2 linked regions of the Coturnix japonica genome follow. The protein of the gene in region 1 interacts with the protein of each later gene in a biochemical or structural test. Links are inferred from orthologs where the notes say so. Each region holds a gene or a part of one and is shown on either strand. Other genes may lie near its edges.

Region 1 (4,571 bases):
TTGGGTACACAGAGGTTTTACCCATTAGATTGCAGAACCTGTCCAAAATCAAGGTTCACTGTGAGCTTTTATGAACTTGTATACCGGAGTAGTTTGGATTTAAGTGGTGGTGTCCAGTAAATATTCAGTAGAAGCCCAAATGCTTTATTCTGTACATGTGGAGAGCTGGGGTCTGAAACAAGGCTGAGTCTTGGACTTGTTTTTATTCCTTGGCCAACAACTCCTGAACCTCAGATTCATGTTTTAATTGTTGGCCTTTTTTCTCTGATTCAGCTCAGAAAAACAACAGGAAGGAAGGAGAGGAGAGGAGAGGAGAGGAGAGGAGAGGAGAGGAGAGGAGAGAGAGAAGGAGAGGAGAGGAGAGGGGAAGGAGAAGGAGAGGAGAGGAGAGGAGAGGAGAGGAGAGGAGAGGAGAGGAGAGGAGAGGAGAAAGGTCAATTTAAAAAACATGAGAAATGAGGGAAGGAAAAAAACATAGACTTTAATACAGCTTGGATGACAAGCAGTGTATAAAACAGATTTGGCTTTGCTTGATGGGTCCAAAATCTTTATCTGAGCCCTTCGCTTTAATTATCCCGAGAACTTCTCTCAAAGCAGAGACATTCCTGATGACAATTTCTCTGACTTGATCTTACAGATCAGAAGGGGGAAATCCTACAAACCTCCTGTGCCATCTCTTCTGGAGCATCACAGTTGTGATGCCTAATCTAAACCTCATGGTGTAAAGCCCTTATGCTGCTTGCTCTTGCCATTGCAAATAAAGAGGTTAATTTCTTTTGTACTCTCTATGGACTTTCAGAGGGCTCATGTGCCACTCAAGCTATGTTCCTGCTTGTTCATGGCTGTCTAGCGTAAACATGGAGACTCATGCTCCACTGGAGGTTCCTGTAAAGCTGCTGTTGTCATTTTACATCCTTTTCTTATACTCTAAATGTTTAGTTCTTAGTGATTATTTGTTCACTGAACTCTTATGGGAGCTCAAGGTAACCTCTCTTGATTCCTGACTCTCTCAAGGTAACCTCTCTTGATTCCTGTCTCCTTTTGAGCCTGGTGGCATTCCTCTTATAACTTGGAAACCTGTCAGAGCTCACAAGGAGATGGAGCACATCTGCCCAAGTCCTCTATCAGCACCAGGCAGAAACGACCTGCTTCCTTCGTACCTGGTTGTTCATTATTTAGTGACCTTATTTCGGTCTTACTAGTGGTGACCTCCTCAGTGGGAACCAAAGCCAGAAGACGGAATGCTTCTATGGGCTCAGTGCTGCTCGAATCTAGCCCTCCCCTGGCCGTTTTCTCTGTTGACCTTGTAATCGCGGATCTCTTGTTATTGCCTGCTAGCTCTATCTTGTTTGGTCTTCGTTCCTTCTGCCTGCTCCCACTTCCCACACATCCCCCTTGCTTTCGCTAATCCCTCTAGCTTCCCTTCTCACTACAAACACCTTATCTCTGGGACACCGCGTACAAACTCATCCCGTTATTCATATTCATGCTTTAAAACCGCTCTGCTTTTGCCCGAACGGCTCCTTCATCAGGGTTCGGGGTTCAAAAACCGAGAAACCGCCGCTGGCCGCCACCGGCCGCGGGGCTGAGGCGGCTCCAACCACCGGCCCGAGCGGACCCGGCGCGGGGCGGAGGCGGGCCTGCACTTCCCCGCCCCGCGCCCCGCTCGGCCCGCGTCGGTCCCTGCTGGGTCAGCCCGGCTCTGGTGGAGTCTCCACGGCGACTCGAGACCGCTTGGGTTACCAGGGCGGCGGCACGGGTGGTTGCGGCCCCGGCCTCCAACTGGCCGCGGCCAACAGCCGCCGCCGCGCCCATAGGCCGCCGCCTATATAGGGAGCGGCGGGTGGCAGCAGCGAGCGGCTCTGCGTTGGGAGGGGGTAGCGTAGCTGAATCCATCGCCACGTCCGAGGCAGGTGCGGGGCTCCGTAGGCAGGTACGTTTTGTTAAGTGTTTTTAATTAATTAATTTATTTTTTTAAGTGCTGTTATTTTTTTTTCCTCTCGTCCGGAAGGTGCCGAAGTCGCGGTGATGCGCCGCACGGGGGAGATGAGCCAAGCGGGGCGGAGGGAGCCTCTCCCCGCTGCGCCCCGAGGCGGGCGGACCGTGCTGGGGGTACTGGTGGAGAACGGGCAGCAGCGGCCCAGCGCCCAGGTGAGACCCGGAAAGCCCCAGTGAGCCGTGGGACCGGGGTGGGCTTCGTGGTCGGCCTGGGGAATGCCGTGCCGGCTGCGTTTACTGGGAGTAAGGGGAATTAGCGAGGCTTTCCCAAGCCCTCTCTCTCTGGTCCCTAATTGGGGATGGCTGGTGTGGCAGGGAGAAAGCAGCTGTGCTGGCTTACAGGACATCACCCAGCTGTGTGTGCCTGTGGAATGCTTGGTTTTGGTGGTGTGAAGCCCATAGCTCAGTCAGTAGATGGTCGATGATGGGGAGAATTGTAACCTGAAATCTTATGGATTGTGGTGTTTAAGTTCAGAAGTTCAAAGTTTGCTTTGTAACTGAACTTATTTTGGCCCATAATGTCCTTTGTTAAGCCTGTGATGGTGCCTGAATGCTTCCTTTCATCGCCATGACGTGCTGTAGCACCTTCTCCTTGCTAGAAGTGAATATGGAGCAGACCCTGCACATGCCAGCAGGTTGGAGTCAGGCAGTGTCCTTGCCTTACTCTGTGGGAGTGAGGCTGTGCTCCTGGTTTCTGGCTTGCACTGCCCATCGCCTCCTGTAAGGTCTCTGTTGCAGAAGCAAGCAGTATTTCTTAAGTAACAACTGTAGCTGCTGGCTTTCCCAGCAAACTTGTAATTATTTGTCCGTTAACCAAGGAAAGTGATATACCTTCTCTAAAACAAATGATACTGCTGTTTTCTTCTTGAATTACCTTGCCACAGCCTTATTGTGTACTCTGTTTCAGAATACTGCTATTACCAGACACTTATCTGGCTCTGAGAATGCCTTCCCTCCAGCTGGAAAAGATGAAATATCCAACTGTGTGGTCAGTACTACATCAAAACAGGACTTTGCTATTTACACTGATGAACCAGAAGAGAAAGAAAACTTCAGCTGCCAAGAGGATGAAGAACTGGAGTCAAGCCTGTGTGAACTGGATACTAGTGCAATGACATCCAGCATTCACCTACTGTTGGATCTGAGTACAGGTAACTCCTGTTAATGTTCACATGGTATCACAGGTACTTGCAATGTGGTTATGAATCATGCTGGCAGTGAGCTAGTGAGTAGCCTATCTTCAAATAGTTACCACTTCATGATAACTTTAATTGAGTCAGTGTGATGCGCAACACTTCTATGCTAGAAATGGACAGAGGTAGTGAAGAGACTAATCAACTAAATGCCTTCCTGGCTTCTCTTTCCTGTTAGCATCTCCCATGCTTGTGGACACATCCTTCCGGTCCCGGCCTGAGGATCAGATGGGAGATCCTATAACTCTAATGACTGTGGGAGAGTATGCAGAAGACATTCATCAGTACCTCAGAGAAGCTGAAGTGAGTATATTTTAACAAATGTAAAGCTGTGTAGGATCTTCCTTAAAGGCTGCAATACTGCAAAGCCATATGGCTGTCACACACTAACTCTAGGCTGTCACTGAACAAACAGTTAAAGCCATTACTGGAGCTTAGTTCTTAGAAATCTTCTAGACAGTGATGATGTTTTTCAGGCATTACTCCACATTCTGAAGATGGGATGTGAGTAGATTATTGCAAAATACTAACGCATGTGACTTCAACGGCTGTTCTGTTTCTTAAATTGTCTTTCTAAACAGGTGAAATACAGGCCCAAGCCCTACTACATGAGGAAGCAACCAGATATCACAACAGAAATGCGTGCCATCTTAGTAGACTGGCTGGTGGAAGTAGGGGAAGAATATAAACTTCGAACAGAGACACTGTACTTGGCAGTGAACTACCTGGACAGGTTTCTCTCTTGTATGTCTGTTCTCAGAGGGAAGCTGCAGCTTGTAGGAACAGCGGCAATTCTTCTGGCAGCGTGAGTGTTTATCTCATGAAATCTTAGTGAGATGAACTTATTTTTGGACTTTTAGTTTAATTTGAAGGACTTTAAGCTTGTGGTGGTAGGTAGGTTTTCATGCTGTCCTAAGATGGTGCCCCATCCCTGGAGGCTTTCAAGGTAAGGCTGGATCAGGCCCTGGGCAACCTGTGTTTGTCTCTGCTTATTGCAGGGACTTGAACCAGATGATCTTTAAAGGTTCCTTCTAAGTGTAAGGATTCTAGGGTTCTGTCATTAGCCACTTAACATACTTTAACTCTTGCAAAACTAAGAATTTAATATTCTTTATTAAGGAACTGTAGAGGGAGAACCTTGTAATCATAATACCAGAAGCAAAAACAGTGCTGTATTAAGCCACTAGCCCATAGTAGGTTAAAAGTTGCAATCTGCAATTAAACTTAAACTGCTTTAAATAGGCAGGGTATCCAGCAAAGCCTAAGGGTGCATGGATTTTTGTCTAGAGTGCATGATGTTACTGACATTTTTTCCTTAAGAGTTTTCTTATTCGTCAAGAGTGCTAGTATGAGTGTATGACTATTTAGGCTGATGACTTA
Region 2 (4,363 bases), on another chromosome or scaffold:
AGAGGGGGCTTGATGTCTGAGATCTCCCACCTGGATGCTGGGGGCTTCCCAGGGGACAGCAGGTCACTCAGCAGCTCCGTGCTATGGGACAGCGCTCTCTCTTTGAGGCGCTTCCCAGCTTTGCACGGTGTGGAGGTGTTCCTTGATGTTACATCCAGCAAGGAGCCGGGCCCTGCAGGCAGCTCACAGGGCACAGCTGACAGGTTGAGGATGGCAGGGCTGGAAGGGCTCCTGCAGAAGGAGAGGAAGCTGAGGTCCGAGGAGCCCAGGCCAGCCCTCACTCCACTGCCCATGGGCTGTGCCACCATACACACAGGGCTGCCCCTCGTGGTGTCCACATCTGCCAGCAGCTCCCAGGTACTCTGCTTTGGGGCACTACTGGAGTCCAGGTAGTAGCTGTACACAGGAGAGAAGTGGGTATGTCCAGAGGCCCCAGCCACAAATCCATTGTCCAGCAGGTCCTTAATGGTCAGGGTGCTGTGCTGCTGCGAGGACGGCATGGCGCAGGGCTGGAGGAACCAGGAGTCCCTGTTGGAACACGCAGTTTAAGGGCAGCCCTTCAGATCCAGGCAGGGCACCCTCCCCACCCCATCTCCTAACAGGACACAGGGCCCAAACCACAGCACCAAGGAATGATTTTTCAGGCCCCTTGCTGAGCACGGGGCAAGGCAGCACTCCTAGGTTTGTGCTCACTCAACCTACATAGCACTGCTCTTAGCTTTGTGTATGAGGGGCCTCGAAGCATCTCTGCTGCAGGGGACACTGAGGTGGCCATCAGAAAGGCTTTATCTCCATTCCTGAGGTCAGGAGAGCATTTATCCCAGGTAGAGCCAGGCTACATCCCAATAGGGGTAGCATAGAGACCTTACAAACATAGCTATACCAGGGTGACCTGGGGACACTACAGCATCCTAAATTACATCATACCTAAATAACATAATATCTATATCACATCACATTGGAGCGTCAAGAGTCACAGCAGAAAGCTCCCTAGGTTACTTAGGACAGTTATATGATCATCCCAAAGGGAAACATCCTTAAATGAAACCTTAAATAGCATCTAAACAGAGAAAAACCTAGGCAATAAGACGAGCACTACTTGCCTTTAGCTCCTACAGAGGCTTCTTTCAGGATCGCAGCCCTTCCTTTAACTAGCGCTGCTCGGAGCGCTTTTATAGTGCTGGGGATTAATTAACGGGCTAATTCTCTCATTAAAATCACTTGGGAGGGGGGAGGGCTGCAAGTTAGTTGGGTTAATTCTGTTAGTCCGGCATTAAGGCGGTGGAGGCTCATTCTGGTGCTGTCCCGCTCTGTGGTGGCCGCACTCAGGCGGGAGGGCGCCCTCCCGCGCGCGCGTCTTTGTGCGGTGCTGACTTAGTGCGCATGCGCGGCCCGGCCCCGCGCGGGGTGGGGGGCAGCCGTTGGCGCGAGATAGGAAAGTGCCGCCGCCGCCGCCCGGCCCCGCCGCCATGGCGCGCCGCAACCGAGGGTGAGTGGAGCCCCCCGGGGTGCGGATGGTTCCGTGTCTTCTCAATGGGGGGGAGGCTGTGGTCTATGGGGTCTTGCGGTTTCGGTGTCCCTGAGCGGTGTGGATGGATGGGGTAGCAGAGCCTGGCCCGCCGCCCGCCTCTTCGTGATGCCTTCAGGCTGGGCCCGGTGGCTGAGAGCGGTCCCGGCCCTGTGGGAGCCTCGCTGTGCGCTGCTTTGGTGCCCTCTGTACCCCAGCAGTAACGAATAGGGCTGGGGAGCTGTATGGAGGGGGATGGAGCGGGGCCTGGGCTCACGGAGCCCTCACTGATGGGCTGGAACCGAAGGATTGTCCTTTCTCTGTGTTAATGTGGGGTTGACCCGCACGCAGAGGGGTCCTGGAGGTCAGGGCCCTGCAGGCCGGGTGTGTGGGGGGAGTGCTGTGCTTTGCCCAGGGGAGGCAATAACGCTCTGCTTGTTGCTCTGCAGTGAGGATCAGGATGAGCTACACTGCCAGGACACCGACTCGGATGTGCCCGAGCAGCGGGATGGCAGGTGCAAGGTCAAGTGGACGCAGGAGGAGGTGAGTGAGGGCCGGGCAGCCACTGCTCATAGGGCTATTGGTAGAGTTTGGGTAGGCCTTCAGTGTGAGCACCTTATCCTGCTCCTTGCCTGCTGCCACAACACCCACTCACAGTGTCTCATTGCTGGGGAAGGCCCTTTGTCTGTTTTGCTGAGGCCTTGATGAGAGGAAGGTCAGGTGAGTTTGAAGCCTGGGGAGCAAAGAGCTCTGACTACTTCAGCACCTGGGCCTACAGCAAGCTATCAGCTGCCTGCAGCAGTTGCTAGAGGGTGGCAGAGGCCTGGAGCTGATTCATGCAGTGCACATGCCCTCTTCTGAAGTCAATGTGGACAGGGCTGGGACCTTTAGGATTGTGGCAAAGAGCCTGAAATGAGTTGGCGTTTTTTCTGCATTTCTTCTGGTCCCTTCATAGTCTTTTTATTTTGTGAAAAACTACAAAACATTTCATTTTCCTTGAGCTCTGAATATGGAGTAAGAGTGGCCTTTGGGCAGAGATCAAAATCTTGGGCTTGTGTTGGGCAGGGAGTTGTTTCTTACCTTTGTTTGCCCACCCACAAGATCTTTCATTTCCTTGCCCTCAGGCAAGGAAGCCCTGTAGTGTAGGGTTTGTGAGAGAAGTGCTGTAGAACTATCAGTGTAGAAAGGCAGCGGGCTGCCTGGTTAGTGGTGATGTACTTAAAACAGTTGGTCTCTTTGGCCAGGCAAAGGCAGTATGAGAGCTGGGAGATAGGCTGCCTGGTCAGGGACATACTGGGGCTGGATAAGCAGGTAGCTCTGGCTGCATAGTTTGAACTAAACTCAGTGTGGGCCTGTATGTGACCACAGCAACTGGGTTTGTATTGTACTCTGCTCTCATCATGCACACACCAGGAACTTGCCCTAGTACAGAGCTCTGAGCCAAATGTGTTCCCACTGGCTTCTGTGCACTGGGACACTGATAAAGAACTTAAGTATCCTCTTCCTTGTAATGCAGACATAAAAAGCTCAACGATTAATAAATATCTGAATATCTAACATATCTTGATGTTGTTGCTTTCAGAGTGATGACTGTGACATATTTTGCTCAGTGTATGTGAAAGTGGATGTCTTTGTTCCTTGCAGGATGAGCAGCTGAAGATGTTAGTAAGACATTATGGACAGAATGACTGGAAGTTCCTGGCCAGTCACTTTCCTGTAAGTGCCCCTTTGCCTGGTTGGGAATTGTAGTGTTGTTTGCATGCTGTTTCTTGTGCTCAGGGCACTGGCTGTCTCCATGCAACACCTTGTATGATGGCACTTTGTTCTGTGGCTGCTACTGTTGAACAAATTTAGTGTTCCTCTAGGGCAGGATGACACATCCTTCTTGCTTAGAGGGTGTGAGTTTATTGGGAGCTGGAGTGAGACATTGGGGTTCCTGTCCTTGTATCTATACCCAGTACCCTGTACTATATCCATAGCATGCATTCTCTGTGCATCTGTAGTTTTTCCATGTTGCAGACTGTGTGTGTGAGGACTGCTGTGTTTCTACAGGGGTTTTTGGAGCCTCCAGTCTAATGTATATCTGCTCTGATTCCTTTCCCCAGAACCGCAGTGACCAGCAGTGTCAGTACCGGTGGCTGAGGGTGTTGAATCCAGACTTGGTTAAGGGCCCTTGGACCAAAGAGGAGGACCAAAAGGTAAGTCAGGCAAGGACAGGGTCTGAGCGTTGGACTTTGACTCTCTGTCAACAAAGTGGAGGTGTCAGACCTAGACAGCTTTCTATCTGTGTTACATCAAACACTTCCTGAGGAAGCTTATAACAATGCCCTTCTACCTTCTTACAGCAGAGCAGTTGCTGCCTATTTTCCCCTCTTTATGTCCTGTTCTGCCAGCCAACCTAGTCCTGATGCCCACTGCCATCATGGCCAAGCCAGACTCCAGCTTTTTGAAGCTGGATAGTTTTGCACTGCAAACAATCCAGATCCTTGAACGTGGGTATCTGTGGCCCATTTGTCTGCCCTAGGCAGTCAGTCTGCAATAGGAGTGTTAGTTATGGACCCTGTGAGCAAGATCTGTGGTGCACCTGCTACCTGCACCTTTCAGCTAAGCACTGCTGGAGAGGGTAAAAGTGCTCTTTTGGAGTCATCTGGCCTCCTCTCTGAGATATTGGCAGGATAAACACTGCGAGCAGCATGTTATGTTACATTGCTTTGTTGCATGGATTTATTTCAGGCCAGCCAGAAAAGATTCCCTACCTGGAAGCATTTGCACTGAGCTTTAGGCCAACATGTAAAGGCCCTAGGCGAAGAGGAAATTGCCAAGCAGATGGCTTTTAAGTGAATTTTGCTCATTTTT

The links.
Region 2: the proteins of CCNA1 (region 1) and MYBL2 form a complex in vitro, tested with the Homo sapiens proteins (2 studies listed by BioGRID, with this or other methods). The link is inferred for Coturnix japonica from reciprocal best matches to the Homo sapiens genes CCNA1 and MYBL2.

What each region holds. Positions count from the first base shown.
Region 1 is NC_029516.1:154,345,517-154,350,087, reverse strand, and holds the start of CCNA1 (cyclin-A1), read left to right. Parts: upstream 1-1,729; 5' UTR 1,730-1,913; exon of another isoform or gene 1,914-1,933; intron 1,934-2,011; 5' UTR 2,012-2,028; coding exon 2,029-2,151; intron 2,152-2,905; coding exon 2,906-3,149; intron 3,150-3,369; coding exon 3,370-3,494; intron 3,495-3,772; coding exon 3,773-3,996; intron 3,997-4,571. UniProt on the Homo sapiens protein: May be involved in the control of the cell cycle at the G1/S (start) and G2/M (mitosis) transitions. May primarily function in the control of the germline meiotic cell cycle and additionally in the control of mitotic cell cycle in some somatic cells.
Region 2 is NC_029535.1:3,104,734-3,109,096, reverse strand, and holds the start of MYBL2 (myb-related protein B), read left to right. Parts: upstream 1-1,358; 5' UTR 1,359-1,469; coding exon 1,470-1,489; intron 1,490-1,956; coding exon 1,957-2,050; intron 2,051-3,151; coding exon 3,152-3,223; intron 3,224-3,612; coding exon 3,613-3,705; intron 3,706-4,363. Other genes in the region: uncharacterized protein LOC107322882, read right to left, coding at 1-500. UniProt on the Homo sapiens protein: Transcription factor involved in the regulation of cell survival, proliferation, and differentiation. Transactivates the expression of the CLU gene.